Linked DNA regions of Drosophila melanogaster. The protein of the gene in region 1 interacts with the protein of each later gene in a biochemical or structural test. Each region holds a gene or a part of one and is shown in the gene's direction. Other genes may lie near its edges. The genes, in order: pum, png and nanos.

The links.
Region 2: of the proteins of pum (region 1) and png, one has a biochemical effect on the other in vitro, tested with the Drosophila melanogaster proteins (one study listed by BioGRID).
Region 3: the proteins of pum (region 1) and nanos are reported together in a solved structure, tested with the Drosophila melanogaster proteins (one study listed by BioGRID).

What each region holds. Positions count from the first base shown.
Region 1 is NT_033777.3:9,229,008-9,240,576, reverse strand, and holds the start of pum (pumilio), read left to right. Parts: upstream 1-3,551; 5' UTR 3,552-3,767; intron 3,768-5,912; 5' UTR 5,913-6,715; coding exon 6,716-7,048; intron 7,049-7,720; coding exon 7,721-8,503; intron 8,504-10,299; exon of another isoform or gene 10,300-10,585; intron 10,586-10,724; exon of another isoform or gene 10,725-11,215; intron 11,216-11,569. Other genes in the region: D1 chromosomal protein, read left to right, coding at 673-1,087, 1,406-2,058. UniProt on the Drosophila melanogaster protein: Sequence-specific RNA-binding protein that acts as a post-transcriptional repressor by binding the 3'-UTR of mRNA targets.
Region 2 is NC_004354.4:1,352,222-1,362,010, reverse strand, and holds png (pan gu), read left to right. Parts: upstream 1-4,409; 5' UTR 4,410-4,477; coding exon 4,478-5,353; 3' UTR 5,354-5,523; downstream 5,524-9,789. Other genes in the region: CG11417 (uncharacterized protein), read right to left, coding at 5,601-7,916; CG12773 (uncharacterized protein), read left to right, coding at 8,523-8,758, 8,813-9,357, 9,524-9,725, 9,783-9,789.
Region 3 is NT_033777.3:19,152,162-19,163,917, forward strand, and holds nanos (nanos), read left to right. Parts: upstream 1-5,076; 5' UTR 5,077-5,339; coding exon 5,340-5,811; intron 5,812-6,354; coding exon 6,355-6,824; intron 6,825-6,897; coding exon 6,898-7,161; 3' UTR 7,162-7,448; coding exon of another isoform or gene 7,449-7,544; 3' UTR 7,545-8,041; downstream 8,042-11,756. Other genes in the region: CG5835 (uncharacterized protein), read right to left, coding at 1,235-1,301; CG11779 (uncharacterized protein), read right to left, coding at 2,972-3,636, 3,704-4,241, 4,305-4,385, 7,449-7,544; Nsun5 (Nop2/Sun-like domain containing protein 5), read right to left, coding at 8,072-8,502, 8,566-9,063, 9,629-9,878, 9,955-10,077; CG42359 (uncharacterized protein), read right to left, coding at 9,191-9,589. UniProt on the Drosophila melanogaster protein: Maternal RNA-binding protein that is required for germ cells proliferation and self-renewal. Acts by forming a complex with pum and brat that regulates translation and mRNA stability.

The sequences.
Region 1 (11,569 bases):
TAATTTTTGGTTATTGCTTTAGTTCAAGTTTTTTATAAATTTGTTTCTTTTGATATTCCTAAACTGTAAGTAGACAATTTTTACACCTTACAATTTCCAAAAGTAAAAAGAGTTTTTCACAAAAGCTACGTTTCATTTTATGTTAATACATAGTTAAAATGCAATATGACCAAATGAAAGGGAATTGTTTTACGCAAACTTAAATTAAACGGCCTCAATTTTGAACGCATCGATGCAGCGCTTAATCGATATCAAATCGAAAAAAATATCGCAAAAATTATCGCTGCTCGATGCACCGACATATTTTTTTTTACATCACTACTTTGAACTGTACTAGCGTGCGCGTATTTTACAATTACAAATTGAGAAGGCAAAGTAAGTAACGCAAGTAATTCCCTTTCGGATCTGGAAAAACTAGAATTTTTAAGAATTTTTTGAGAATATTTTTTGCAGCATTTATGCGCATTCAAGCCCTAATGCAAAATTGTTTTTCTGTATATTTTTCCAGCTTGATTTTCGGCAAACAAAAAGGTGAAGAAGAAGAGCGGAGCCAAGCGAAAAGAGTGAGCGTGTGTTCGTGAGAGAGAGCATTTGTGCGCGTGTGTGTGTGAGGGGACGCGAAGAAACAAGGATTTTTTTTATTCGCTTGCTAATTGAATCCCGTACAGAGAAATGGAGGAAGTTGCGGTAAAGAAGCGCGGCCGACCGTCAAAGGCATCCGTCGGTGGTAAATCTTCAACAGCGGCGGTTGCAGCAATCTCGCCAGGCATCAAAAAGCGCGGTCGTCCCGCCAAGAACAAGGGCTCCAGTGGCGGTGGTGGACAGCGGGGTCGCCCACCGAAGGCGTCAAAAATCCAAAATGACGAAGATCCCGAAGACGAGGGGGAGGAGGACGGCGATGGCGATGGCTCCGGCGCTGAGCTTGCAAACAACTCATCACCCTCGCCGACGAAGGGCAGGGGACGACCCAAGAGCAGTGGTGGCGCCGGATCAGGATCCGGGGATTCGGTGAAGACGCCCGGTTCCGCCAAGAAGCGCAAGGCCGGCAGGCCCAAGAAGCACCAGCCCAGCGATAGCGAGAATGAAGGTGAGCCTATGGTAGTGCAGTTAGTACGTAAATCCCCAACATTTCATGGTCTCAATTCAATTAATGGAAATTTAAGCACTGTTTGCTTCCACCAAACTTGCACTTTTATCTTTACGCTACCTGGTGATTTTTTTTCGAAGATCACAGGTAGAGTCATGATTTCAACATTCCGCAACCATGCAATCAATCAAAATCAAAAATATGTAAATGGTCGATAGACCATTGATTTACCTTCACAAATATTACTTTAAATATATTCCTGGATTCATTTCATTATTATACCTATTAACTAACATTGCTTTGTTTCTTTCAAAACAGACGATCAGGATGAGGACGACGACGGCAACAGCAGCATCGAAGAACGTCGCCCAGTGGGCCGACCGTCGGCTGGATCCGTCAACCTGAACATATCGCGCACGGGACGCGGCCTGGGAAGACCCAAGAAGCGGGCTGTCGAGTCCAATGGCGATGGGGAGCCACAAGTGCCCAAGAAACGCGGTCGTCCACCACAGAACAAGTCGGGTAGCGGTGGCAGTACTGGCTACGTACCCACCGGTCGTCCGCGCGGTCGTCCAAAGGCCAATGCTGCACCCGTCGAGAAGCACGAGGACAATGACGACGATCAGGACGATGAGAACTCCGGGGAGGAGGAACACAGCTCGCCTGAGAAGACGGTAGTGGCGCCGAAGAAACGTGGACGTCCCTCTCTTGCCGCTGGCAAGGTGTCCAAAGAGGAAACAACAAAGCCCCGTAGTCGCCCAGCGAAAAATATTGATGACGATGCAGATGATGCTGATTCCGCCGATCAGGGCCAACACAACTCCAAGAAGGAGTCGAACGACGAGGACCGTGCCGTGGATGGGACACCAACCAAAGGAGATGGCCTCAAATGGAACTCCGATGGCGAAAATGATGCCAACGACGGTTATGTTTCGGATAACTACAACGATTCCGAATCGGTAGCTGCCTAAAACATACAATTTATAAACATTTCCACACACCCCTCCCCAAAAATCAACACAAAAAAAAAAGAATGTTGTAAAAGCAAAAAAAAAAAAACGAAAAAAAATCTGCAAGTAAGAGAAGAAAACACAAAAATGGATAGGACCTACTTGGACTTTAGAGAACCTTCCCCTCCTAAAACAACACACTTTGTCTACATATATATTCCGATTTATTGCTGAGAAATCGGACAAACCGTTTACAACTGCACTGCACTGTAATGACGACACATAGCTCGGAAAACGATTTCAACTTGGATTGAAATTACCAAATAAATAACACATAAATAACATATTTGGGGAAGATTTCAAGTTCCGAAGTAGAACTGAACTTTATTGTAACAACAAATTTGATTTGATTGCAGAAATTTCAATCGTATACAAGTTTAAATAAACCTACTATACCTAAAAAAATTTTGTGTAATTTAGTTTTTATATATATCATTTAACATATATTATCTATTGATATAAACCAGATGGAAAAATATGTAAATCCATGGTTGTATTGATTCTTTATATACAGTGTTCACTGTACTTTACATTATATGGTCACTCTGAAGAAAGTGAAGTTATAAACGGTAATTGTTGTAATGCTATTTTAACAACATTAAAACTAGGGCAACTAGTTAAATGCATTATAGAACATAAAAATCAATTAATTTCTCTAATGGGATAGTAAATGAAATTATAACTTACATATAGTAGTATGCTAAATTTTTGGTATCTTAGAACTATTGGAGAGTGTTTCTCAGTGCGCTTCGCAATGGTATATTTGAACGGTCGAGCTGCGGTCACACTAAATGTTCGCGCGTAAGAAGAAGCAGACCTAGAACGGCGTGCTTGTAATATGTAAATTTTTCAAATAAGCTAAGGTGTGAGTACCCAACAGCTATAAAATATGAAAAGTATTTTAAAACTGCCAGCCTTATGCTGATAGTTCGACAGCATTGTTTACATTTCCAATCGGCGGTAAATCACAATCAAATTTGCGGCTGCGAAAAAAGATCACAAATTGATAAAAAAAAAAGCCGCAAACAAAAACAAAACAAACACCCTGGTGCGTGTGTATGTATGCGCGAGTGTTGGTCTGTGAATGTGTGTGCTCAAGTGTGTGTTTGTGTGCGACTGGCGTCTGATCAAATTTGGCATGCCCCTAAAATCGATTGATAAATAATATATAAACAATTTGGCTGGGGCAGCGTAATTCATTTGCCAGGGTGAATATAAAAAAGGGGGTGATGATAAAAGAACAAGAAAATGTGTAATCAATTTATATAAATATTTTGCGCGCATGTTAATAAAAGTAAAATAAATTGTCGGTCTTTTGCGCTCGCACCCCCGCTCTTGCTCTCTCTCGCACTCTGTGGGCATGCTCACTCGTTCTCTCTGTTGATTTCGCACGTTTGCCAACACTGCTCTCATTTTGGGGGGTTCTTGTTCTCTCCTCTCTCTCTAGCTCTTTGTTGTAGTTGTATTTGGCCAGTGTGTCTTTGCATTTCGCTTTTATTATCGTTCTGCGACGGACGGCGGCGACGTTGAAGAAATTCCTGGCCGATTTCTTCTTCATCATCCTGTGTAAATAATTGTAATTTAAATAATCTAAATTTCGTATTTAACGAAAGCACACACACCATCAAATCAATGGAAATGCAAACGAGAAGGCTTTTTTAAGTGCATGTGTAAGTGTTTCAAAAAAGGAAATGAACAAAAAAAAACAGCTAAAAACCGTAAAGTACTCCTGTTTCGTTTTACATTGTCATCATCGGGTTTCCTTTTCCATTTCGGCGGCATGAGTGTATGTGTGCATTTCCAGACCGCTTTTTGTACATATGCAAACATGTATAAATAGTTTGCGAAATTAATTCGTATTTTGCCCGAAAAAGGTAAAAATCAATTAAGTGTGTGCCTGAATAATTTATATGATTCCTTTCTTTTTGTTTGGTTGGTGAACAAATTTTTCCGATTGTGCGTATGTGTGCGAATGTGTGTGTTTCATTATTTCCTTATACCATCGTGTTCTTCCTTTTGAGCGGTGGCCATTTGGCTGCTCTGCTTCTTCCTTCTCCCCGCGTCCCCCCGCCAAACCATTCAGCTCCCTCTTACGTGTGTGTGTGTGCTCTCTCGCTCTTTCTCTCTCTCGGGACGCCTTGCAATTGTATATATGTGCTTTTCCCAATAAGAACGCCTAACTACCAACTAAAATATTAAACAATTCAAATGGTTTTAATTCCTAATTACTTATTGGCCGCACCTCCTTTGTTTTGTCCGCCATCTCTTTTATGGTTTATCTTTATGTTTGTTTTTATATATACCCCCCTCCCCTAGAAGTGTGGGTGTGTGCGAGCTTCCAGGGGCACAGCATTCGCGTTCTCTCTCTTCCTTTTCGCATGCTGCACTTGTCTCTCCTTTTTTGGGGGGCTTCTTGGGAGGCACGAAAGGACCGAAAGGGAGAAATGGAGATATAATTCTCGTAAACAACCCAAAAACAAAAAAAAAAATAATAAAATAAAAGACCGACCCACTCGCATTCTTTTCGCTGAAAACGTAACCTCAAATGTTTGCGGCCGCCTTTCGCCTTCGTCTTCGTTTCGTTTTCTTCGCCATTCGTTCTGTCGCATTCGCTCATCGTCTGCCGGCATCGTTCTTGTTGTTGTTCTTGCTCCTCTGTGTGTATGTTAATTTTATATGTTTTCCATTTTCGACCGCCCCACCACCCCCCGCTATACGTCTTTCCGTGTGCTTTCCGCGGGAGGCGCTATAACAATAATTCTGTTCACAAGTTTTCCAGATATGTATAAATTCTTAGATGTTAAACAAGCCGCTATACGTCTTTCCGTGTGCTTTCCGCGGGAGGCGCTATAACAATAATTCTGTTCACAAGTTTTCCAGATATGTATAAATTCTTAGATGTTAAACAAGCCGATCTACAATGTAACCAGATTTTAAAAAGGGATTTTGTTTCTGTTTTCATTGGATTCCATATTTTGTACAATGGATATTATTATAATCCCAAACTATTATAGAATTTCATGTTAAAAGAGTAAAACAGGATTTGAATAATCAGATCTAAAGATCATTTTCATAATGTTGAAATGCAATGGTCCTAATGGTGATTTATAAAATTTCGTTAAAACCTTTTTGGAACTGCAACATAAACGCCATTGTTATCGTGTGCCAACTTTTTGTTACGGTTGCTAAGCACTTACGAATAGATAAAGTCTGAAAAGTTATGTATTGATAGTCACTGATAAAACTAGCCTGCATCGTAATTTATTAAGAGTATTAATCCAATCGGTCTTCAAAGAAACCAAATTATATTTTCCGTATTTTTCGAGCATGATTCAGCGCTGCGTTGTTCTTCTATGGATAGTCTGCTTCTGCGACTTGTTCTTGGGGCTCCTGTTCCTCAAACGTAAACGCAACGCACACACTCCCCCCCCCCCCCCGCAATTCACCACTTATCGGCATCTACTTTGTTATTGTTTTCGTAATGGGGAAATCATGGCTAATATTTGCCTTAGTCGTCTTTCAGTTTTAGAAGAAATTGTTTTGCTTTTACGCGTGCCTTGTGCGTTTTATTTTGTTGATTATTATTATGTGCCCTGTCTGCTGTCTGTGTTATCGGAATCTTTTCTTTACCATGACCAGCTCAAAGTTTTTAATCGCACAAAAGTACAGTGGTTCGAGTGTCGTATTGAATTGGGAATAAAAACTAGCATCATATAAAAAGTTATTTGATTCGAAATCGATAATTTCTCAACAATTTATTTCCAAAAACTACTGCGTTTACTAATCACAGTTTACACTTTAATTTCTCATTGCAGTTTGTGTATATTTTCATCATTAAAACGTCGTGTAAATTAAAATTCATCCTAATTATAATTAATAAACTACATTAATAAACGGAAATTCCACAATTCTCAACAAGAAATCTGTAAAAATTCAAGTTTTAACCAATTCTCATACGTAATTAAATAAATAAAGTTCAGTTTTGTTAAGTCCCAAAAACAACAGCTGTGCAACTGTGTAAAATATTATTCATAATTTTGTGTAAATTTATGTAAAAAAAAAAAAAAAAACAAACCAACCACGACAACCAAACCAAACGAAGCAAATTCAATTTTTTTGATCAAAAAGTGTGTGAAAAATCTCAGCAAAGCCTGTAAAATAAATATTAAATATATTAAGCAAAAAGTGTGGTTTCTTTTACAACAAAATAAATAAAAGCAAAAAACAAGTGTAAATCTGAAGCGAAAATTAAAAAAAAATTATATGTAACATTTGTGAATATTTCCGAGCGAATAGTGTTGCAAAACGCGCGTGTGGTTCTTTGTGCTGCAAGTTAAAATACAATTCAAGTTGGCAATACGCGCAAAATTGTCAGCTGCGATAGCTAGGAAAAGCCTCCAAAATTGAGCTCCTAACCGCGCCCACAATTGCCATATCGACGCCCTCGCCGCAGCAGCAACACCAACAGCAGCAGCAGCAGCAGCAGCAGCAACTCTATCAGCAACATCAACAGCAGCAGCAGCAACATTACGGTCCACCACCGCCCTACTTTCAACAGCTACACCAGCAACACCAACAGCAGCAGCAACAACAGCAGCAGCAGCAACACCAGCAACACATGAAGTTTTTGGGTGGTAACGATGATCGCAATGGCCGCGGAGGCGTCGGCGTTGGCACGGATGCCATTGTAGGATCTCGAGGTGGCGTCTCTCAGGATGCCGCCGATGCAGCTGGTGCCGCCGCAGCCGCCGCCGTCGGCTATGTCTTCCAGCAGCGTCCATCGCCTGGTGGGGTTGGCGTCGGCGTGGGCGGAGTGGGTGGCGGTGTGCCAGGGGTCGGAGCCGTAGGCTCGACCTTGCACGAGGCCGCCGCCGCCGAGTACGCCGCCCACTTTGCCCAGAAGCAACAGCAGACCCGATGGGCGTGCGGCGACGACGGCCATGGGATCGATGTAAGTATTCCAGACTCCAAAATAAAACAGTTTTAGAGCCATTGTAGTAACATGTTGAGGGGCTCTTCCAATAACTTTTTTTTTTATCGCAATAAAGGAATATTATCTTTACTACCTAAAAGTTAAATATTTTAGAATTATCATTACCAAGTTAATTAATTAATACAAAGAATATAAGTATTTTTACTTCTATGCAAATAGTATTGAAGAGCATATTTAGCAATTAGCATCAGATGACAATTTTTTCCCCTTTTTCTAAATTTTGGCTTCCATATCGTTATTGGGTAACTTTTCCCAGTGCTGCTTCTTGATTAGACTTTGTGGCGCTTATTTCAGGGGGAGGAAGGTGGGCTTTAATTCTCCCCCAGTTGACCTCCGCAGATTGTATAAGTGTCTGCCAGAAATGGTTGCATAAACAGATTATCACAATTTGGCATTGAGTGTGCAGCCAATGGAATTGTGCGAATAGAATAGCAAGATGTTTGTGGTAAAATAGGAGATATTGATTAGGAAATTTGTTTCATATTCGACAGAGACTTAATTGGCAATGTACAAATACAAAGGATTAAATAGCTCAGAATTTTATATTTACGAACTAAATGAGAGCAATTAAGTTAGATTATATCGAGAACTATTCAAAGGCTCATACATATATCCTTGAATTAATTCCAGAACCCGGACAAATGGAAGTACAATCCGCCGATGAATCCGGCCAATGCCGCTCCTGGCGGTCCACCGGGAAATGGCAGTAATGGTGGGCCCGGCGCCATTGGAACCATTGGCATGGGCAGCGGATTGGGTGGTGGTGGCGGCGGCGGAGCTGGCGGCGGAAATAATGGCGGCTCTGGTACGAATGGCGGTCTGCATCATCAATCGATGGCCGCTGCAGCTGCGAATATGGCAGCCATGCAACAGGCGGCGGCGTTGGCCAAGCACAATCACATGATATCACAGGCAGCAGCCGCAGTTGCAGCCCAGCAACAACATCAGCATCCACACCAGCAGCATCCCCAGCAGCAGCAGCAACAGCAGCAGGCGCAGAACCAGGGGCATCCACATCACCTTATGGGCGGTGGCAATGGACTGGGCAACGGCAATGGATTGGGCATACAACATCCCGGCCAGCAACAGCAGCAGCAGCAGCAACAACAGCAGCAGCAACATCCCGGCCAGTACAACGCGAATCTGCTTAACCATGCGGCTGCCTTGGGTCACATGTCATCTTATGCCCAATCGGGTGGCAGCATGTACGACCATCATGGTGGAGCCATGCACCCGGGAATGAACGGCGGCATGCCCAAGCAACAGCCATTGGGTCCACCCGGAGCCGGAGGACCCCAGGACTATGTCTACATGGGTGGCCAGACCACTGTGCCCATGGGAGCCGCAATGATGCCGCCACAGAATCAATATATGAACAGCTCTGCTGTTGCAGCTGCCAATCGGAATGCAGCGGTGAGTAATAGGTTAACTTTCTTGGCTTGCCATAATTAATCCAACAATTGTCGTTTCGATTACGATAATTTATGCGGACAAGAGGGGAATATGTTGCAATTGATTTGCTTAGGAATACTACCACTTATCAGTAGCATAAGTAGTAGTCTTTAATTCAATTGATAAGGCTCGGAATGATAAGCTAATTAGTTAACCATGTTTGTATATGTATGTTTGTATTGATAACTGATGGAATATCAATAGTTTTACATGATGGGGTAGCTACGAACAACTAAAAGGCTGCTTCTTCTCTCCTGTCAATGAGATGAATCATCTACTTTGCGTTTGTGAACCCAAGAGAATGACAGTTTTCTTGCCTTACTTAAGTTCAGTGCGTTTGCCACTACATTCATTTGTCTTATTATACGCTGTTTATTTAGCGAACTAAAACTCGATAGTTGTCAATTAAATAGGCGAAACCAACTTGACAAAACTGCCGATAAAGAGTGCTCAAAAATAAAGTTATGACCAAGTGCCCTTAATGGAGCTCTTACATGTTTAAATCGAGAGTTTATTCTCAAATAAAAAGAGAGTGCCAAAACTTTAACCATTAAATTTCATTTGATTATTTTCTCTTGTTAGATTAATCAATAAGTTGGCTTGATAGCTAGTGGTTATGGTTTTGTCATTGTACTTTTTCTTCCAATTTTGGCGAAAACTTTTCGTTTCTTTTCGTAACTTTCTTAGGAATTTTATTTTGCGCCTCATAAAATAATTGTTAAGGGCATTGCAATTTACTAAGTTTGACCATTTTCTATTGCTGAATGGAGATCGATATTTGCGTGATTATGACTATGTGACAGTTTAATAGAATCTTTTTTTGTTCGAGATTGAGTTTTAAAGATTTTTTGTAGCGCCTTTATTTCTGATAGTTATAGAACTTGCAGAAGAGGACCATTGTGTGCTGATTCTATTATTCTTGAACTTCTTGTTTGGCTTTTCATTATTTCTACTCGCCGTCCGTGCTGCTTTATTCGTGTCTTTGCTACACTGGCTAATGGAGATAAATGTGGAAATATAGGGGAAGCGAAGAAAGAGGCGGGGCTGAGATACATAGATCCCATTCCGGTTGCAATCTTTCAACCTTATAAAGCCAGAACATTGCACATGCGGCACAACCACACGCAGATACACTTGGATACTCACACACCTGTCTGCTCACCTGTCTGTTGCCGGTAAATCTGATGACTTGAGAACTCGACTACTACTACCACTGGCATTTTAGCCAGAAACAACTGGCAGCAATTTATAAACGAAAGAATTTAATACTGGGAACTAATGAGTTGGCGATGCTGTGCAAGTGGGGTGGAGAAGAACTTCTCGTTGTGTCACAATTGTTTATAGGAAATGCCATTTTAATTAAAGAATTTCACTCGTCTAACCCTCTCGTCTCGCTCACCCGTTCGTGGCGTCCCTCTCTGACCTCTGCTTCAGGTGATTCCCCTTGTCACCTGGCACTGCAATTTCCTTTTCACTTCCTTCGCACACAATGCAGGGTTTTAATGGGCAAGTGTTGGTTGGCCCGCAATCGATTATGTTTTTATCAAGCAAATTGTCGATTCAAAACGGTTCTGGGTTGTGCGGGCCTTTTGATACCCTGCTCGCTACACATCAGATTAATTCTTTGCTTATTAATTCATGTTTATTTATGATATTACTTTCGCATTTGATGTTTCTAGCTGATTTTTTTTGTTTATAATGTAAATATTTGTGTAAAATGACGATTATTCTTGGTTTAATTACTCTTTGTGGGTTGACTTTTTGTTTCTTGTGTCACCCTTTTTTCGGTTTACTTTGCATCAACTTTGAAATCTCTCTCTCTCTCTCTCTCTCTCTCTCTCTGAGCGTAGAACCAGCAGAAGAAGAGGAGAAAGATATTTATTACATTTATGCGAGGACCAGTCGGAATAATAGTAACAAAATAAAGACCTCCTGGCTGGAGGTAAAGTAAAGTTGTGCAAAAGAGAGTTTTCGCAAACTTGTTGTTGTTGTTCTTGGGGTTTCTGTTCCGTTGTTGATGTCCTTTATCTTACCCTTGTTTTTCTTAAAAGAAGAAAAGAAAAATATATGTGAATTATATGAATTTGCATATTTTGTTGATGGGAAATGGGAAAAACTAAAACATATGTAATGCATTGTATATTGAAACTGATGTATTATGTACATCTTTTCGAGTATTTACCGAGCTGCTACTACTACGCCAGTTTGTGGGGGGTAAAGAAACGCAGGCATCGGCAATATTTCGCCAAACTCCTTGCATCCTTCCCTCTAGTTATCTCTCTCCCCCTGCTGGGCCCACCTGCCACGTGCTGTCCCTGTCCCGCGCGCTTCTCTCTTCCAGAACTATCTCTCCGCTCTCTTGCTTCCACTTATGGCTTTGCGTGTGTGTTTGACGCGCTCTTGTTGATGTCGTAGGTCATTGATTTGCGCTTAACAGCCGGGCGGAACGGAATGGAATGGAATAAAAAGGGGAACAGAAGAAAAGCAGCGGGTAGGAGAAGACAGAGAGAGAGAGAATGGGAAAAGGGTAAAAACGATTCTTCTGCGCTGTTGTTGTTTTTGTTGCATTAAGTTTGCTCATTGTTTCACTTGCCTTGGTTTGTGTTGTTTCCCTGCATGTGGTGCATTCTGCTTCCTCTTTTGTTTCTTCTGTCCCTTCTTCGCATTCGCCTTCTGCACAGTAAGAAAATTGGAAATGATATTTTTCGAGCGTTAAGATTTGATTCTTAACAATACAAATTACATTGATTAAGATAGCGTCTTGGATTTCTTACTTATTACTGAGTTATGAGTTATTACTTATGTGTGAGTTATGTGATTGGATTGATACGAATTTAGTTTTTTTCTGTGTACGCGGTGTTCTTATTACTTGCGATTCTTTTATGCTGCCTGCCTCTTTTTTTCTGCGAATTCTCATCTTCATCCAGTTCCCTCCTTTTTCCACACAGTTTTCCCCACCCCTTACTCTCTTTAATGTTTTTTTGTAGCTTTTTGTGCGCGTAATGATTTTTGTGTGCGTGTGTGTGT
Region 2 (9,789 bases), on another chromosome or scaffold:
CGTCACTGGCGGGGTTGAAGCCTTTGCAGCCGAAACTAAAATGTTTTCGAGAGTTTCCGTTGACTTGTCTATATCCTCCTTTGTAGATAATGCCGTCGTTAGTTCTATGTGTGAACAGACATACTTTTGATACCTTGGCCAGTTTGTTCTAAAATTTGTGAGTCTATACGGTGGGTCGACGATGTGGGGGCGAGTTAGCATATTTAGAAAAACAGGTGAGTGATCTGATGATAAATCTGCTAGTGCTTCGGCGGTGACCATGTTGCGGGGGACATGTTTAGTAATTGCAAAATCGATCAGGTCTGGGATTTTTCTTGGGTCTGCTGGCCAGTATGTAGGCTTACCCGGGGATACATAGTCTAGCTTGTTTTCTGGCTTCGTAAGCGCATTGTACAATTGCTTACCCTTTGGCGACACAAGTCGAGATCCCCAATGGGTGTGCTTGGCGTTATAGTCACCCGCTGCGATGAACCTGTCACCTAGTGTGTTAAAGAATTCCATGAATTGATCCTCAGAGATTGGAAAGCGCGGTGGGCAGTAGACTGCGGCTAGAGTCGTTGAACCATTGTTGAGTTGTAAGGCTATGGACGTAGATTGTAAGTAGTTTTTGTCAAAATTGTTTAAGTGGTGGTGTTTTATGCGATTTCTGATGAGTATTCCAGTGCCTCCATGAGCTTTACCATCTGGATGATTTGTACCATAGAACAAGTATCCTGGTATATGAAAATTGTTTTTATTTGTGAGGTGCGTTTCTGATAGTAGCATTACGTCGATGTTTTTTTCGTAAATGAACTGTGTGAGCTCTTGTGTATGCCGTGAAACGCCATTTGCGTTCCACAGAGATATCCGTAGGGAAGCCATTATGGGGATTTTGAAGATACAAGAAGTTGAATCAGGATATTTTGGTTTTTCATGAGCTCTTGCAAAGTATTTTGCATGAACGTCATGAAGTCTTTCATGCTTTGCTGTAGGGATAGCATCATAGCTTCGATGCCACTTTGTTGTGTTTGTTGGATGTTTGTCGGTGTATGTTCGGAATGAGCAGTTCTTGTCGGTGGGGCGGGCACTTCTAGTCCGGATTTTAGGGCGCTAGCGAAAGAAATTGTTGGAGTAGTGCTTGGGACAGTTAGGGGTGGTTGAAAAATCGGTTGCGGAGAGTAGAAATTGACTTTGTTGTATGTATGTGCTGTGGCAATACGTTTGTTTAGGCGGCTCTTCAATTCTTTGTACACCACACAGCCTCTGTAGTTTGCAGTATGTTTTTCCCCGCAGTTACTGCATTTCTTCACAGACTTATCGTCCTTGTTTTTGGGGCAGTTTGCGGTAGTATGAGGTTCGCTACAGACAACACATACGGACTTAAGGGTGCAGTATGCCTTGGTGTGGCCGTATTCTTGGCAATTAGTACATTGAACTGGATTGATACGTTTGTGCGGCTCCTCCACGGTGATCCTCCGATGTAGCAAGTACTGTAAATTGTATATTGGGTGCACTTCGTTTTTCTTTAGTGCCTGGAGCTCTGGTTCGAGTTCTATTTTGAATAGTGGCTGCGGAACTTTGTCTTTGTTTAAAATATTAATAGCTGTCTTTGCAGAAAAGTTTTTGGCCTTCAGAGCCTCAATTATCTCAGCTGGTGTCACTGTTGCTTCAATGCCCTTAAGTACTACCTGTAGCCCTTTGCAACTTTTTAATTGGTATGTGTAGTAGTTTTTACCAGCATCATTTAGGTATTTAGTCACTATACGGTGGTCTGCTTCTGTTTGGATCTGTAGTTTTATTTCATGAATATTTCCTTTTTTAAGTGGGATAATGTGGAACTTGCTGTCACCAATCAAAGCAACGAGTTTATTTACAAGTGCATTTGTACTTTGTTCTCGTATGAAAATTGGTGGAGGCCTGGTCTTTTTTGGTTCCCCTACCGTTTTTTCGTTGGGTTGTTCGGTCGCAGAATCAGCCAAGATAGCATATCGGTTTGAATTATTTACTGCAGAGTTTTCATTGCCGTTGTTGGTTCGATTGATTTTGGGTTGATTACCTGCCTTATTGTTTTGAGGGCTGAGCTTTCTCTTGATTTGGATGTAGCGATCCATGCCAGTCTGCACAGTCGAAATCGACTTCTGCTTTTGTTTTGATTCTTCTTTACGTGCATTATTGTTGTTGCAAACGGTCAGTGCTGCTGAATTATTTACAGCTGGCACAGCGATAATTAGTTGGGCCGCTGACGAAGTTGATGTTGTGGCAGTTGCCAGTGAGGTCACTGCACTCGTTATTGCAGTGTTACAGTTACCCGGGACGGTCGTTTGGCGCTGCGAGAGGAGCGGGGTAGGAGAGGCGGTCTCTTCGCTCCACGACTTGTGAGCCGAAGCAGGCAGAGAGGGAGAGCAAGAACGCGGTCTGTCGTTCGCTGAGGGCAAAAGTTTCGAGTTAGTTGAAGGTGAGGGTGCTCGATCACCGATTTGCGGTGAGACGAAAGAAAAGTATGCATTGTTGCGTTGTAAAGAGAGCCGGCGCTCGTCTTGTTCACATTGTCGCTGAGAACGTATGTCGTTTTGATTCATTGTTCTAAGTCCACATATAACAATTACCAGAACAATATGGAATAATTATTTATTTTAGTAAATAATTACTATAGTCAATAATTGTTAGTTGTGCAAACTGCACTTTACACTTTGTGTTTAACTTTCACTATACTGTTGTAGTTTTTAGAACTTGCTATTCGTAGCTTGAAAGAAACACGTCTCCACCCGAAGACTGTGGAATGCCGAACGCGCGCTTTAATGCTATCTAAAATTGACTACGGACTGCCAATCTTCGGTTGGTGTGCTAAATCACACTTAAAAAAGCTACAAGTCCCATATCACGGAGCGGTCCGTCGCGCCATTCACGCATTTCCCACATCTCCAGTAGCGTGCACATTGGCAGAATCGGGTCTCCCGAGTATCCAATCACGCGTAGAAGAAACTACATTGATGCTTATCCCGAAGCTGTACACCACGTCAAACTGCCTGCTAACCAAAGACTTCGGAGCCATATTTAAACAAAAACGGAAATTCAAGTGCATATCCACCCTAAGACGTTGCGCCAACTACATCAAGCTACTTGACCTTCCCCTGCCTAAGCCCAGGAGGCCCTTCAAATCGCCAGCACTTTGGGGTTCCAAACAGCCTAACATAAACCTTCAAATATACAATGCTGCCAAAAAGGATACAGGTCGCCTAGAATACCAAAAACGTTTTATGAGCGCACAAGAAGATCTTGGTGTGAAAAACTGGATCTACACCGATGGTTCTAAAGTCACCGGCGCAACTACTTTTGCGGTTGTTGACTCTAACCGTAAAATAATTGCAGGAGGTAGGCTTCCGTCCTACAACTCCATATTTACAGCCGAAGCTTTCGCCATTCTCAAAGCATGCCAATTCGCTTCCAAAAACGCTGGAAAATCTGTTATCTGCACAGACAGCCTCTCCTCTCTTTCCGCTATACGCAACTGGAACCATAATGACCCCACAACACAAGAAGTTAGGCACATTCTAAGTTCTCACCCAAAAAAAATCACCTTACTCTGGGTTCCCAGTCATCAAGGTATTCATGGGAATGAACTTGCTGACAAAGCCGCCCAAGAGATGAGGCTTACACCATCAATCCTGTTCACTCCGTTTAACTCCAAGGACCTAAAAAGTCGAATCAAGTTATACCTCAAAGAAAAGAAACTCTCCGAATGGGCACTCTTCATGCACAGGTACCAGTCTATCAATCCGAATTGCATCATGTTCAAGCCACCAACGAACGTACATAAACGGGAATGCGCGACCTTTATCCGTCTACGCATCGGGCACACCCAATCCACACATCAACACTTACTGATGAGATCGGCGCGACCAACATGCCAACTATGCGGGGACGAGCTCACCGTTGACCATATTCTCAACGCCTGCAGTCAATTGCACTCAATTAGATCTCACTTATTTGGTACACATAGTCTCTCGAATTGTTTAAGTATCCCATCCTGTGAAAATATCTCAAAAATTTACAAATTTGTCCAAAAAGCTAAGTTTATTATATAAAGCAATTAACCCATAAGTCTCGAGTCGAAGGCCCCCGTAGCTAGTACTCATTAAATTTAATTAGGTTTAGTATTGTATACTATATTTAATTTTGTTAAATAAAATAAATAAAAATTTAGGATAGTCATACTTTTCACATGGATGGACTTTTTGAATGGGGTTAGTTCACGATGCGTTAGTTTGATTAATTAACCAGACTCTAATAACTTACTTTCATTGAGCACTGTTGCTGCTGGCCAGATGAGCAATTTTCATATGGGGTTTCCGAAGTTCCGAGTTTTCGGCTTTTTCCGATGGAACTGTGCATCTCTTGTTTCGAAGCAATCGATAGATGGCGCGCTTGCGCTTTTGCTGGCTAACTGTACATCAAGGCGGGATCGCGGATTACGCTTTCGGAACTCTGCGCACTCGAGATGGAACTGGGTGACTCTAAGCTGCGTGCGGTAAGGGTGCTGGGCCAGGGCACCTTTGGCCGGGTCTTCCTCTGCCACCAAAACGAGGTGCGCGGACAGCCGGAGAGGAAGGTGTGCGTGAAGCGGATCATCGTCCGGAATCCGAAGACAGAGTTGGGATTGATCAAGGAGGAGGTGTACATCATCTCGCAGCTGCGCCACCCGCACATCGTTGAGTTCCTGCGCTCCTTTAGCCACGCGGGCACTGTGAACATCGTGATGGAGTACGTGCCCAACGGCACCTTGAGGGATGTCATCCAGCAGCTGCCGTCAGGCACCGGGGGAGTCAATCAGGAGCGGCTGATGGGCTACTTCCGCGACATGGTAGTGGGACTCGAGTACCTGCACATCCGCTGCGTCATCCACCGAGACATCAAGCCCGAGAACATGCTCCTCGACGCCAACGACCGCGTCAAGATCGCCGACTTTGGGATCGCGAACGTTCATGCGCCCAGCACTCAACTGCAGGCGGGCATGGGCACGCCCATGTACATGGCCCCGGAGGCGATGTCCAGCCAGGGCAAGGTGGATTTCAAGTCGGACGTGTGGTCACTGGGGCTAGTCCTCTACGAGCTGTGCCTCGGACGCAGCCCCTTCGCCGCGTTTCTCGACAAGAACGCCACCCCTGCCCTACTGCACACCGTAGTCCAGGCGCTGGTCCGCCCCCGGCTCGACTGCCAGCTCATCCGGCGTCTCTACGATCCCGTGTGGGCGCAAGTTTGCGAGCTGATGGTCGTTTACGAGCAGGAGCGCCGCATCTGCCTACCAGACATCTTCCACCTCGACGCCGGCATGACTGTGACCCTCTACAAGCATTACTTCAGCTACAGCTACTAACGGAAGCCAATGGTCAGCTCACCAGCACGAGGAGACCTCAACAAATATTTCATTGTACTTAAGAACTAGGCTAGCTTAAGCGATAAATTAAGGTGTGTGCTGTGCTTTGTGTGCGCCTGTGCTTTTGCCAGGGGATCTGTCAGCTATAAACAGTATATAATGTATATTCCAAAACAGTCTCGCTCAATGTCATTAACGTAGTCTTTAATTTACATTTGTTCACCTATTGTACAGTAACATTAATCCTCTAAAGCTTCTGGCCCTGCTGCTGCAGCTGGATCTTACGCTTCAGACTCTTTACCAGGGCGTTCTGCTCCAGCTGCTGCTTACTCCTCTTGGGGGCTACCTGCTCATCCCCATCCGCATCGCCGTTTGCAGCGCCGCCCTCCCCCTGCTCCTTTCTGCGCTTTAACTTCTCGCCGATGATCTGCTGCATGCCCTTGGTGGGCTTGTAATGGGAGTGGGTGGGATCGATGTTGTACTCGTGCGACTTGTAAACGGCACTGAAGCGATTATCATTCAGGTTTACCTGGAAGTCGTCGTCCAGCTTCTCCGCATTCTGCGGCTGATTTTTCGATTTCTTTAACTTCTGACGACGCTTTCGCTTTGAACCGCTCGCTTCTTGCTCCTCCTTCTTGAGGATTTTGGTCAGACTGAAGTGTTGCTTCTCGTCGCGCCCGTCGCCATCGTCCAGCAGTAGCTCAAGCTCCTTCTCTTGCCGCTTCGCCTCGACGTCCTCCTCTCCATCGTCCTTTCCCTTCTTTTTCTTTTTCTTCTTGTCCTGCTTCGTTTTAGGGGGAGCGTAGTCTCCATTAGCGAACTCCTCGGCGAAATAGGCGTCATTCAAATCGATGCCATCGGGCACCATGGACTCATCGCTGTCCTCACCGGCATCGCCTCCTCTGGCTTCGATCTGGCGCTGGCGGCGCTGTTCCTTGCGCTGCCTGTTCTTCTCGCTGCGTTTCTGGATCACCTTCTCGATGGGCGTGAGCTCGGCCTGGGCTTGCTGCTCCGGCTGTGCCTCTTCGTGCTGGGGCTCCACGTTCCAGGTCATTTCCATTTCGTACTTCTGCTCCTTCTCCTTCTTTTCCTGCTCCAGGATGTCGGCCAGCAAGTTTTTGTAGGTGGCAATGCGTTCCTGCTTAGAAGTCTTTTTGGGCTTGCTCTTCTGTGGGTCCTCTGAAACCGCCTTTTGAGCAGCCTCCTCCGCCGGGGATTCCTCTGCCTCAGAATCCTCTTCCTCACTACTGTACGCTACTATCTGGCGCAGCTCCTTGTCCGTGAGCTTGTCAACCTGCCCGCTGGAGAGCTTGTCACCCAGCTCACGACGGTCCAGCGCCGTCTCGTCCCAGGTTAGATCCACCTTGGCCTGCTGCAACGCCGTGGTGGTGAACTGTCGCGGCTTATAGCTGCTGGCATCCGGCAGCTCGAAGCATTCGTCCGACGGCGTGTCCTCCTCGAACGAGGTGTCGTCCGGGATGAAGCGCAAGTCCACGCGCGTGGCGGAGCTCTCGTACTCGATACCATCGCACTCCTTGTATACCTTGTCGGCCGTGTCTATGCTGTCGCACTCGACGACAGCATAGTAGTAGCGAAGTCGGTTTAGCTGGTACTGACGCAGCTTCTCCATGTGGTAGTCCTCCCCCTCTTCGGCATCGCTGTCCTGCTGGCGTACGAGCTCCTCATCGGAGTCGTCTTCTGGCTCCACGCGCTCCACCAGTTCCTTTGGGCCGTGCACTTCCTCCTCGGCCATGCGCGCTTTCCCGAACTCTGAGGGGTATATCTTGACGCTGAGAATGCTACCGCCGGGCGGCAGGAAGGAGCTGAGCATGACCATTAGATCCTCGGCCCGGATGCGGTCCCAGTCCATGTTGCAAACAGCCAGCCGGCGGGTGCTCTCCTCGGTGTGCTCGGCATCGTTGTCCAGTTCGCCCCACACGTGGTCTATCTGCAGTTCTGGACCCTCGTCCTCATCATCGCTGTCCTCGTCTGAGGAGGAGTCGGTATACAGGCGGCCTTCTCCGCGGGCGTAGTCTATCTCTGGGTTGGTCAGGCGCTGACGAAGACTCTGTGACACCTCGGAACTATCGCTTTCCAGAGTATCGTTGCTCTCCTCCTTCTCCAAGTTGGCTATGGCTCGCTCCTCGGCGCGCCGCTCTTGTTGCTCTGCCTCCGCCTCGGAGTCAAGATCGGATTCCTTTTTGGCAGGCTCCTCGCCGCTGCTGCTCTCGTTCTCGTCCAGTTCGTAGAACTTTCTGAGGTCCTCGGCGTTGCTCTTGTTGACCGGGCGGCCGTACTTGTCCACGGTGTACTTCACCTTGAACTTGTCGTCCGTGAACATGCCCTGGAAACGCTTGTCGATCTTGACCTTTCGCTGCACTTTTGGAACGCCGCGAAATCGGGGATCGGTCAGCAGGTGCTGGAACCGAGAGTCCTGCCAAATTCCGTTCTCCGAATCATTGGCTCCAGCTGCCTTCCCCATGTTGGCCTGCGACGAGCTCGGTGCCTCCTTCTTCGTCGTCTGCTTGTCCAGCTTCCCGGACTTGTCCTTCTTCTTGCCCATTTCCCGAGGAGCCCAGTAAAATACAAACAAAACGTAAGCACGTGCGGCGCGTCACACCGGTTTGGTTATCGATATCGGATGGTAGCGATAGAACTTAGAAACAGATAGGCGGCCTATCGTCTAACGCATATCGCAGCCCACCGAAAAGTCATCGATGACGACTTCTTGTAGTTTACCAATAAGCAAGTGTTTTTATTTAGCTTTTTGAGCGTTTATTGAGTGCGGTTACAGTTACTCAAGTGCGACCAAGACGATGCCCGCCGTTTCCCGCTTCGGTCGCCAGTGACTCGAATCCAGCGCCTGCAGCACCTCCATCGGATCTGCGATCTTCAGAGGATTCTCCACTGGCTGCCTGCGTGGATGTGCTCGCACTTGGACGTTTGGATGTTTGGGTGTAGCAGTGGGAGCGCAACGCCAAGAAATAGCAATCAGTTAATTGCCGCGATTACGCCCGAGTAGTCGTCAGATAACCCGCGAGAACAGCACAACGCAAAAACTGCTCAACTCCACGGGAGCAGCAGCAACAACAAGGCCAGCAAACAACTGCCAAAAGCGGTACGGGAAAAGCGGGGTGGAGCGGAGTGTGCGGTGCGAAGCGGAGCGGAGATGACTAATAGCTCTGAGGGCAATGGCAACGGCGGCCGACGCACTGTCGACTGGCAGAGATTTGGACTTGGCGGCGACGAGGACGGGGATGTGGCGGTGACCAGCTTTCGCCAGCGGACCAACAACAACACCGGCGGATTTGTGGATTTAGGTAACGAGTACACGTACGCGGCTGGTGGCCACCATGCGTCCGGGGCCAACGAGATCTTTGCGGGCGAGCAGGGCGACAAGCCGTGGTAAGTGAATCAGGCAACCCTTCTGGCCAGGATCCTAAGCCTCTTACTCAACAGGTGGCGCTCGAACTTCTTCATCTCCCAGCCCGTGCTATTCGGCACCTGGGACGGAGTGTTCACCTCCTGCCTAATCAACGTGTTTGGAGTGATCGTGTTCCTGCGATCCGGATGGATCGTCGCACAGGCAGGCATTCTGAACGCGGTGCTGATCATCTTTTGCACGGTGGTCATAGCTCTCGTCAGCGTCCTCTCGGCAATCGGTATCTGCGAGCGGTGCCGTGTGGAAAGCGGTGGCGTGTACTTTCTCATAGCCCACACGCTTGGTTCCCGATTCGGAGGCGCCTTGGGTTTGCTCTACTGCTTTGGCCAGGCGGTGGGATGCGCCCTTAACGTAATGGGATTTGGCGAATCAATGGCTGGACTAGTGGGACTCGAGGGCAGCAAGTGGGCCATCCGCGGGTTCGCTACGGCAGCGGTGCTCCTGTTGGGCTGCATCAACGTGGCCGGCGTCAAGTGGGTCATCAAGCTTCAGTTTATACTGCTCATGATACTGCTGATCTCGGCGCTGGACTTCATGGTGGGCAGCTTCACTAGTGAGGCCAGTGAGTACATTATTCATATGCGATTGTTAGCCATGTCCAGTGACTAATCGCTTCCTAAGTAGATTATGGCATTTTTAAATAATCTGTTGAATTTAGTTGGAATATGATTCAAAAGAAGTTGCAAAGATTTTATGCCAACAAGCTATTAATCTGGTTTTATTTGCAGGTGGCGGCTTTAATGGCTGGGCGAGCGGAAACTTCGTGGAGAACCTATGGCCAAAGTACGACGACGGCTACTCCTGGTTCCGTGTGTTCGGCGTCTTCTTTCCCACCGTCACCGGAGTGCTGTCGGGCATTAACATGAGCGGCGACTTGCGCGCGCCGTCCACGGACATTCCCAATGGCACCCTGGCCGCCTTTGGCACCTCGTAAGGTTTACACGTCGCCGGGAAATCAGTAGCTCTTGACATCTGATTTCTTTGCAGCACGTTC
Region 3 (11,756 bases), 9.9 Mb from region 1:
CGTATGGTTTTTTTTTTTTGCAAACCTGTCCGTTTATACATACATATATACTATATAGCAGAACTGAAACAATAAACACATTTCTAATGCCACAAACGATTCGCCAATGCCGATCGCTTTGGGATTCGCATAAACCGCTCACGAATCGCGTCAAAATCGCGCGTTAGCTGGTGGAGCTTCCAAAAATTCCACAAACAAAAGCCAATTAAATTCGAAAAAGCACATGATTTAGCCATGATGTCTTGCAATTTATTGCATTCGACATTCGTAAGTCACCCAGTTTTGAATTGAGTACGTGACGATAGGCCAAAGCCTTCAGCCGAAGAAAACTTGATCCACTTTTGACAAGTGTCAAAGAGTCCGGAGAGTTCTTATCACTGAGTTGCGGGTGCTAACAACTTTAGGACAAATAATATAAGTTAAGACCCAGCTCATAAAGTTCTGACACCTCATAATCTGCAGGAAGGAACGGCAGTCATTTGGCCATTTGTTATAAAGTAATCTCGTTGGTTATGTAATAGTAGTAATAGTAAGGAAATTTTAAGGATTATATTGTAATTAAATTAATTGGCTTTCAAGCTTAAAAATGAAAAATACAACATGAAAATCCAATGCTAGAATGTCCACTATCATTTCAACAAATTGTACTTTTAGAACTTATTGATTTAAAAAAGAAATCTGAAACCCAATTATCCATCTGAATAGTTCCCTCTTGGCAGGATTTATACAACAACGCCTATTATTTTGACCACAACTGTTCGCTTACAATTCCTGCGTAGCGATCATTTACCAATATAGCGCAAAAGGCCTGGCGAAATCTTATCTGCACTGCGAAGCCAGCTGGATGGATGGAGTTCCCCCATGGAATTAAAGTCTTGCAATTTAATTTCGCGACCTGGCGGGACCTTGATGGACGACGATTCATTGCGACGGGACGGCGGGCGGTCGAACCATTCAATAAAAACCCCATATTTATGCGCTGTAAACCGGGCGGGCTTCACCATAAAGGCGTCCCGAACCGGACATGGTCTTCGATCTTGGCTGGCACTTAAGGCAAAGGGTGAACCGTAAACTGTTAGCTGTCTAGCCAAGTGGCCGCTCCAACTCGATCCCATCCAGCTGCGCTGCAAACTAGTTTCGCTGCAGAAGTGGAAACATCGAGTGTGCGTGTCTATCTATCTTGTTTCGCCCGTTGTCACTGTAGTTATATCTTTTTATCTGTCGTGGTACTTACACTCCGCCAGCAGCAGAACCAACAGAAGCGCACTGTTGAAGACCAAAGTTTTCCGCAGTGCCATCATATTGCGAATTTATGTAGATATGCGGGCACCGTCGTCACTTCCTTTATCAATTAGCTCCTTATCACTCACGCACAGGTTACGCGCCACTCGATCGCTGGATACTTTTCGATGATTAAGCGCTCGTTCGGCTTATTCTGCGGGCCAAATTGTAAATGTTTGTTATATTTCTCCGCCTTGCCAGTTTTACGTGCGTTCGCGACGAGCTTTCCGTGCGGAATGACAAACTCAAGCTGAGAGCCAGCCGAGTTAACCCCAACTCTGTTAACTCTCTGTTAACCGATCGAGGCAGTAACATTGACTTACTGTTGGGGGTATTCGAAACGAAGAAATTACTTAGCATTCTTAACTTTGCTCGGATTTTACCACCTTGCTCGTTAACCGATTGTTAAAGGTATAAATTATTATTATTATTCAGTACATTTTATTCCTGATATGTGCTATTTTGAATAACGAAGTGGGTCATGAATGAATTCTGTGAATTAAAAAATCAAATACTTATAGGCTTTTTTATGCTAATTATTCATCAAATAAAAATGTCTCTAATTTATAATCACTGTTTTTGTCACAAACATCAAAATATTTTTCAAGTTTTTGAGATACATGAATCACATGCATAGAAAACAATGACTACTTAGGTATTTGCAAACATTTTTATTTGAGCAACAAACTATTTTCTCCCTCAAAACAGCAAGTTTATACTACTTATTAACCAAGGTAAAATTAAAATGTTTTACAACTGTCATCGGAAAATAAAGCATTCCATGTTTTAAAAACACCCAATCGAATGGATTATGTAAAAGTATTGGATTTTTTTTATTTTGCCCACTTAGTAGCAAGTGGCGCTTACGGATGCCCGATCCATGGGGCAACCATAAACTTGGATGTCTGTGATTAGGGTAAGGAAACATAACACTTATTTCACAAGAATTCGCCAGCTGCTTAAATGGTACATGTAAAAATATTGAAGTATTTTTATTTTTCTAGACATTCTGAGTGGCGCTCGATGTGTACGTACATACAACTCTTTGGATTCTGTGTGTACAGTCAATTTACGATGCCCAAGCCGCCCTGAGCGAATTCCATATTTACAAGAGAAGGGGGTGGGGATTGGGAGGGGGGGGGGTGTCGGAAAGGGTTGGGGCCTTAAAATACCTAAACTCAACTACACTCAACAATTTGCTTATGGTCACTACTTATACGCCTTATACACCGGCGGTTGCACTTTAAGCTTCAACGTTATAGATTTGGCCAGGACACCAGCGGAGGAACCACGATCCCGACGGCCAATCCCCGCACCGAACACTCCTTCCGTGCTAGCCGGAAGTGGATCGGCGGTGGGCGTGGCCGCAAGGAACGGCCAACCGGGGCGTCATTTGGGATATGAGCCGCGCCGGAGCCGGCAGTCTGCTGTGCCCGGAATTCGTGGGGGAATCGTTCACGGGACCGACCAGCAGCCCCTGCCGGGCGGACGCAGTTGACTAGTGGCGGACAAAACTTTCAAAGCAATCGAAAGCGAAACCTTTGTACACACTTAATAGATTCCTGCGGGTCGAGTTCGTGGTCAGTTCGTCGTCAATGCTCAGTGTCCAGTAATCTTTTCGTTTGTTTTTTGGATGAGAAAATGAGGGAAACTTAAACGGCTCGGTAAAAAAGAAAGGCGTGGCAGCGCGCTAAACAAATTGCTCTGAGCTGTTGGCGGACAGCTCCATCAGCCGCCAGGCAGCCTTGGGGTTGAGTTCGTTGCGGTCGCGGCACAGCACCCAGACGTAGTGAACCCGCATCACCTTCTCCGGATCTCCCTCGACGACCTGACTCTTCTGGTCCCGCACGCACATAATCTGCTGGGCTTGGAACGTGATAATCAGTACCGGGCCCTGCTCCATAACCTTGCCCATTGCCAGTTCAATGTTCTCGATGTCGAGGATCTTGGAGTCCAGGTACACGCCGGCCTTCTTAGCCTCCTTAATGGGATTTGCGATAATATTGAAAGTGCTCTCAAAGCACCAATCCTTCAGAATCTCCAGATCCCCACGGACAATCGATTCCAGAATATTTGGAATGATGTCCGTTTCGCAATCGCGGAGGAAATCCTTCTGATCAAAGCTCGGATCGATTTTCACCAGCTCCGTCATCGTTTCCGAAAGCTCTGTCTTTGAAAAGAGTCCACCCATGACGTCGGACACTTTATCGGTCAGCAGGCGGGAGGCACGAATAACAGGGTTCTCGGACTCGTCGTATTTAACCTTCCAGTCAAGCACCTTGTTCACGTAGGTATTGTTGTTCTTGAAGTTCTCCCACGACTCGTAGAACTTGGAGTCCTTGTGCAGCTCCATACCTGAAAAGTAACATTACATTATGGCCATGACCTTTGATCTTATTGAAGGAAAAAGATGGAGACTCACCAGTGGCTTCCGTGTTGGGCTCCACAACGCGATCACTATCGCTCATGACGAGCTGGACGCGCTTTCGCAACTTGGCAGGAGCACGATAGACACGATTCTCTATGCTCGCGCTGTCCATCTCCTTCTTGATGGTCGTCGTCGTGTTAGAGATAGCCTGGAATGCGCTGGTCTGGCCCAGCTTGCCACTGGTGTCGGAGATCGTGTCGCTGACCCCCCTAGCCTTCTTCGAGAGCTCCTCGGTAACCTTTTTGGCCAGGTGGGATTTGCTGGCGTCCTCCAGAACATCGCCTACGCGCTCCTTGATGGCGCCCAGCTGCTCCTTTAGCATGCTAGACGACTTTTGCGCCTCCGATTCGACAATGTTAAACTTTTGCCGCGCCGATTTCAGGGCATCCGATTCTTCCAGCTTCTGGGCCTCCTCACGGAACTTTCGGATATTGTCCTTGATCTCCTTGTTCTTATCCATCTCCGCCTTCATGTTGTCGAAGAACTGCGAGAAGAAGCCGGCCCTGCGACCTGGCGCACTATAAAAGCGGGGCTGCGGAGTAAAGTCATGACTTAGGCCGGTTGCGCCATGGGGTTTTATGAGCCAAACTCTAACCTGCTGCTGCTGCAGGTTCTGCGAGGCCTGCTGGCACGTGAAGAGACAGGCGCGATCCCGCACAAGGGCAGCTATTCTGTACTGCAAGGAGAAAAAATCATTGAAAGCTTCGACCGTTTTAACCTCGAAATATGCACATGTAAGGACGGATGTGAGCGAACGCCAGTGATGACCGGGATCAGAGGTAACCTACCATGGTGGGGATTAGGTGACCGTTCGCAGGTAGTTTGATCGGAGCGAATGTTCGGGGGGTCTGGCGTCAGAGGCTCTAAACTTTATGTAATTCCTGCCGCGAAACACGCACGTATCAAGCAGTCAGCTGTTCTCTTCGTTCAGCGCGCGCCGGTGTTGCAAAACGAGCGCTCTTCGCCGGCGGTGGCTCGTGCGATAGTTCGTTTTGTCGGTAATCCGATGTTGCCGCGCCGATATCATGTGATGTTGTCACAGTGCGCGAAATTCGAATGGTGGTGTGCAGTGATTGTGTTGTGACGGCGAGTGGCGCGTGTGGGTGCTTAGTTTTGGGAGATGTTTTCGTATTTTTTTGTTGATAACTCAGGCTTTGTTGCTGTGTTGTAGTACTATTTTCCATTGCGCGGTGTCCAGCTTTTAATTAGTGGCACATATTCTTAGCAAGTAAAAATTATTTTGCATACTATTAAATTTCTTATAAATTATTTTCTAAAATTAAGTTTACCTTTTCAATTTTACTAAAAATATCGATATATTTATTATCGCTGGAAAACTACATTATTCCACCTCTAAGCAAGAACCGTTAGTTGGCGCGTAGCTTTACCACAAAATTCCTGGAATTGCCGTACGCTTCGCAGTTGTTTCAAGTTGTCTAAGGGACATACGATTTTTTTTGCCTCTGCGTCACGATTTTAACCCAAAAGCGAGTTTAGTTACATGTACATTATTATTAGATAAAGAAGTATCGCGAATACTTCAGTTGAATAAACTGTGCTTGGTTTTTGGGTGAGGATTTGTGGAAAGTAGAGTGCGCGATAACCGTAACTTTCGACCCGGATTTTCGCCATGTTCCGCAGCAACTTGGAGGGCAGTGGCGCAGCAGCAGTAGGTGTTGCAAATCCCCCCTCGTTGGCTCAGTCTGGAAAGATTTTCCAATTGCAGGATAACTTTTCTGCTTTTCACGCCAGAGGAGGGCTCAACATTCTGGGCCTGCAGGACATGTATTTGGATACCAGTGGGGCCAACTCGTCGGCCACTTTGAGTCCGCCCATTACGCCGGTGACCCCTGACCCGTCGACGTCTGCGCAGTCGACGCACTTCCCTTTTCTGGCCGACAGCGCAGCCACCGCCAATTCGCTCCTTATGCAGCGACAGTACCACTACCACTTGCTGCTCCAGCAGCAGCAGCAACTGGCCATGGCGCAGCACCAATTGGCGCTGGCTGCATCAGCGGCAGCGGCTAGTGCGAGTCACCAGCAAACGGACGAGATTGCGCGATCCTTGAAAATCTTTGCGCAGGTGACGACGGGCGCAGCAGGTAAGAAGAAATGGCGAATATGGCGTCGTTTAAAACAGAATAGCCAAAAACAGTGCGCGGGAGCGAGATGACTATCTGTACAAGTACAGTTATGCCAAAGTCAATGGCCATGGGCTTAGTTAAAGGGGCAACGAAAGCACAGAGCAAAACAGAAGTAAAATTGTGTAAATGTATAATTGCTGCAGAGGTCAGAGGATTTTCGCCATTTAGTGTAGTATATTTTTTATTTTACTATTTTGTATGTGCTTTAAAATATATCTTTGCCCAACACTTGTATCCCCTTCAAGAGGTTTTTCGAGCGCCCCTGAATTTTCGGCCATTGACCTTAGCATTTTCGCTATTCCTTTTTGTTTTAACTTCGGAAAGCCATTTTGCGTCTTACATTTTCTAGAAGTTCTTTGCTTTTTCTCGTCTGTTCTTGTTTTTTTTTTGTATGCAAAAACTAATCCGTATTTGCTTATTACATTTCTGAAATGCAATTGAAACGCGAATAATAAAAAAAATACGTTCAGGACAAGGTAATGAAAAGCTTGCTATTCCCAGAAAATGCGGCTGGCTCGATGCAGGATGTGATGCAGGAGTTCGCGACCAATGGCTATGCCAGCGATGATCTCGGTCGCATGTCCTACGGGAGTGCTCCGCCACAGGTGCAAATGCCACCGCAGCAGCAGCATCAGCAACAGCAGGGGCTGCACCTGCCACTGGGCCGCAATCCTGCCCAGCTGCAGACCAATGGCGGCAACTTAATGCCCATTCCACTCGCCACCCACTGGCTGAACAACTACCGGGAGCATCTGAACAACGTGTGGCGAAACATGTCGTATATACCAGCCGCTCCCAATACAATGGGTTTGCAGGCCCAAACAGCGGCCACTGTGTCCACCAATCTCGGCGTGGGAATGGGTCTGGGATTGCCCGTGCAGGGCGAACAGCTGCGCGGAGCTTCCAATTCCAGTAACAATAATAACAACAACAACAAGGTGTACAAGCGTTACAACAGCAAGGCCAAAGAGGTGAGTGGATCTGATCCAGGATTCGCAGAATTAAAACTTGCAAAATATATTTGTTATCTTGTTTCTCCAACAGATCAGCCGCCACTGCGTCTTTTGTGAGAATAACAACGAACCAGAGGCGGTTATCAATAGCCACTCAGTGCGAGATAACTTTAACCGAGTGCTGTGCCCCAAACTACGCACCTACGTGTGCCCCATCTGCGGGGCATCTGGGGACTCGGCGCACACGATTAAGTACTGCCCCAAGAAGCCGATCATCACCATGGAGGATGCGATCAAGGCGGAATCGTTCCGCCTAGCCAAGAGCAGTTACTACAAGCAACAGATGAAGGTTTAGAGAGGGCGAATCCAGCTCTGGAGCAGAGGCTCTGGCAGCTTTTGCAGCGTTTATATAACATGAAATATATATACGCATTCCGATCAAAGCTGGGTTAACCAGATAGATAGATAGTAACGTTTAAATAGCGCCTGGCGCGTTCGATTTTAAAGAGATTTAGAGCGTTATCCCGTGCCTATAGATCTTATAGTATAGACAACGAACGATCACTCAAATCCAAGTCAATAATTCAAGAATTTATGTCTGTTTCTGTGAAAGGGAAACTAATTTTGTTAAAGAAGACTTACAATATCGTAATACTTGTTCAATCGTCGTGGCCGATAGAAATATCTTACAATCCGAAAGTTGATGAATGGAATTGGTCTGCAACTGGTCGCCTTCATTTCGTAAAATGTTCGCTTGCGGCCGAAAAATTTCGATATATCTACAATTGATCTACAATCTTTACTAAATTTTGAAAAAGGAACACTTTGAATTTCGAACTGTCAATCGTATCATTAGAATTTAATCTAAATTTAAATCTTGCTAAAGGAAATAGCAAGGAACACTTTCGTCGTCGGCTACGCATTCATTGTAAAATTTTAAATTTTGACATTCCGCACTTTTTGATAGATAAGCGAAGAGTATTTTTATTACATGTATCGCAAGTATTCATTTCAACACACATATCTATATATATATATATATATATATATATATATATATATATATATGTTATATATTTATTCAATTTTGTTTACCATTGATCAATTTTTCACACATGAAACAACCGCCAGCATTATATAATTTTTTTATTTTTTTAAAAAATGTGTACACATATTCTGAAAATGAAAAATTCAATGGCTCGAGTGCCAAATAAAGAAATGGTTACAATTTAAGGAAACAAATGTCCTTCTTGCGTTTGAAACAACTAATCCTTTTCGCCCTCGCGGCGTTTCTCGAAAAGGGCCAGGAAGATGCCATCGGTAAGATCACTGTCCGGCTGGCAATACAGGACGTTCTTGCCAATATTGGGATAGTCCTTGTCGCCCACATTGTGCCACTTGTTGCGCAAGGCCTTCTTGCAGCTGAGCAGCTTGAAGGATGGATTTAGCTGAAGACAACGCTGCACCACCTGCTCGTTTTCCTCCTTCCACAGCGAACACGTGCAGTAGGCAATGCGTTTGACGTTCGGAAAGGCGCCCATCGCGTGCGACAGGATCTTAATTTGCAAACCCTGCAGCTTTTGCAGCCGCTTGTCCTCCTTCGGCTCGTCGCACACGGTCATGCGGTTTTGCATTCCGCTGCCAGAGCAACTAGGGTCCACCAGGATGTACTCTACGTCCGGAAAGCGTTCGGGTGCTGAAATTCAAACGTGTTACTTTTTTAAATATTCATTGTGAAATATATAAATATAAAACTCACTTAGGTTCAAGGCGTCTCCCAAAATGGGTTTTACAATATCGCAACCAGCATCCTTTGTTATTTCGCACAGCGTATTGTAGCGTACGTGGTCCTGCTCCACGGAGTAGATGCATCCCTTGTTCTGCATCACATTGCATATGTGCACTGTCTTCATACCGGGAGCTGCGCACATATCCAGCACAGTGGCCCCAGACGGCGGAGCAAGTAGTTCGGCGGCCAAACAGGTGGCCTTGTTCTGCAGTATAAACCTCTTGCTGTGCACCAACGGATGGCGGACCCAGTAGTTGGACCACTTGGCAGGAAAAATGAGCACACCCTCAACGTGCAGATCGGTCATGAACTCGTTCTCCGCCAGCGATTTGATGGCAGTCAGAAAATCCGCATAGCTGGCGTCCGCAGGCAGCTCCTTGCGCCGCCAGTCGCTTTTATGCAGGTAGTCCAAGGCCTCCGCCAAGCTGTATAGATTTGTGTTGATGCGCACATATCGAGGATTGGGTTCTGTGTGGGCAAACAAAAAGACGAGTTCAAAATTGTAGCCAAAGTAAGATTTATTAAGAGTTGTTAAGAGTCGTTACTGGTCCTTTAAACGATCGAAATAATCTGGACTTGGCTGGCAGCACTTAAGTTACTGTTCTTTCTTTGGCTCCGCAGCTTCCGGCTCGTCGTCCTCATCCTGCTGCACGGGTTCCAAGGGTGGTGGGGGCTTCTCGCGGAAAGCCTTTAATACATACATGGCCACCACGAGGTTAACAACCACAACAGCCGTGAGAACTGACCAACAGTTGACCGTGAAAAGGTCCAAATGGGGGAAGGACTCCTGCAGCCAGCTGCGGACGCCATAGAAGCCCAAGAAGGGCAGCGTGAACATGAGCACACTGTAGGCCAACAGCCAGAGGAAGACCTCCGCACTGGTGTCCTCCTGCTGCGTATGATGCTCCACGGGAGAATCAATGACAGCCGGGGAATCATCAGTGGTAGCTGGCACCACATCGACATGCTGTTGTTTCCTGTTCTTCTTGCCCATCTCAGCCGGCTAATACTGGTAATCGGTGTGATAACCTGCCTTTTCGCTGGACACCGAAATCTCTGATGGAATTTAGCAGTCGATCCTTGTAACTTCGCACCGTTTGCACGGGTTTGCTTTCGCCGTTCAGCTCCTTCCTGCCAAACAGCAGTTCGGTGACTAGAATCTTGGCCAAACTGGGATCAAAACTGGGATTGTCCCTGAGCAGTCCTGTCTCTTCGATGGCCTTTTCCAGTGCCACACGATTTTCGCTAAATTTTTTCAGAACCGTATGCAAAGAGCGTGTACGCTACAAGTGAAGTGCGAGAGGGAAAAGTTATACGCATATTGGTTTGATCTGCGGACGAGAGGTCCAATCCACTTACGGCATGCTTCTCTGCAAATATTAGGGTCTTGATGCACTTCTGCTGCTCCAGTGCCGCCTTCAAAATCTTGGCAGTCGCCCTGTATTGGGTGGGAACTTTTATGGAATGCGGTTTTTTACTCATTGTCGTCACGTGCACGTGTATGTGTTGTTTGCGCTAGAATAGGTGCAACCCCAATCACGACTTTATCGATATATGCTTATCGAATGTCAGGGCTGGAGATAAGCATGTGGCGTTTGAAACAAATCATATTGTTATTCATGTTTTGAAAATATCTACAATTAATGTAAAGGTTGTTCTAATTTTGCCAACGATAACTACAAAACATATATGTTCTATCCAATATATTTACATACAGGGTATCAAATTTACAAATAAATTGGCAGTGTGGCCATACGTTGCGAGCAAAAATTACTGTACTTCAAGCATTGCCAACACAAGAATATTTTCATGGTTAAAAATTTTGGCGCGATAAAGCCGCAGTTTAAAATGTCAAAGTGTGCGCGTTCTTGGAGGTTTACCAAAATTTAGAATCATGCTTTTATTTATCGTGCATAAGTTGGTAAATTGGAATTAAATCAAGTTTTTTCCAATTTGTTTCTGGTGTGTCGTTTGTTTTGGGGTCTGTACGGCTGCTTTAATTAAAAAATATTAAAATGAAGCACGCTATTCTTTAAGGACTTTAAGGAAACGTACCTTTCTATGTTTGCCCAGGAGTTGATAGACGATATCAAGGCTGAGGATCGCATCCTACAATGTCCTTGGTGCGAAGAACAGACGTTGAGTCCATCAGCCAGCACCCGGAAACTTTTGTATTGGCTTTTAACGCTTTCAATTCGACTTTCAGAAAAGAGTCTCCTCGAAAATCACGACTGATATCCATGTAAATGAATCGGTAGATACTTGCACTTTCTTTTTAGTTATTAAAACTGACACACTGTCACTTTGCAGGTTTTAACCGCTGGCGGAAATGAAGAAGGAATCCGGGAATATTCATTTCAGTCCATTGTGGTGCACAGCGGAACTCCCCTCAGGAACAATCTTAGCCCACTAAACATCAATAAACTACTAAAATAACTTTGACTGCTGCTTAATTTCAAATATACATAAATTAATATTTTTTATTTTTAAGTTAAATTTTTTAATTCTTTTGGAGGCTCAAATTTTATATTTGGCGCAGCACTTTAATGTAGAAAATGTGAATAAAGAAATATTTCAAGGGTAAACAACAAAAAATGTTTTGATTTTGTAAAAAAAAAAACCTTAAAAATTATGAGGAGTTATAAAATAATTATCAGTTTCCGGAACTTTAAAATTCTTATCTTCAATTTGATCTTCAAGACATATTTTTCTTATAATAATATTATCAATAATATTATATAATATGTAACGGATATTTAAGTTCTTCATTTTCTTTTTCAGAAGTATTAACAAATGCATATATATAAATACATATATATTTATACAATAGAATCGCATAGGCATGAATTCAGCGCGCAAAATAATATAATTACAATAACATTGATATTATATAATAGATTATAATAATATACATATGTAAGTGTAAGTTATAAAATGGTAACAAAGTTCAACAGCTCATAGGCGAAGATCCAGTGGCACGGAATTTTCAATACAGCCAGGAGAACATCCTAATATTTTGGATAAACTCTTTGTGCCACTGTTCCGGGTGATGTGCATCATGTCCAGCACGGAGGACCTTATGTACCACTATTGCTGTTTCCTAGATTAGGATTCGCTAAAAGCTTAAATTGTAATTTCAGATTCCCAAAAATAGAAAATAC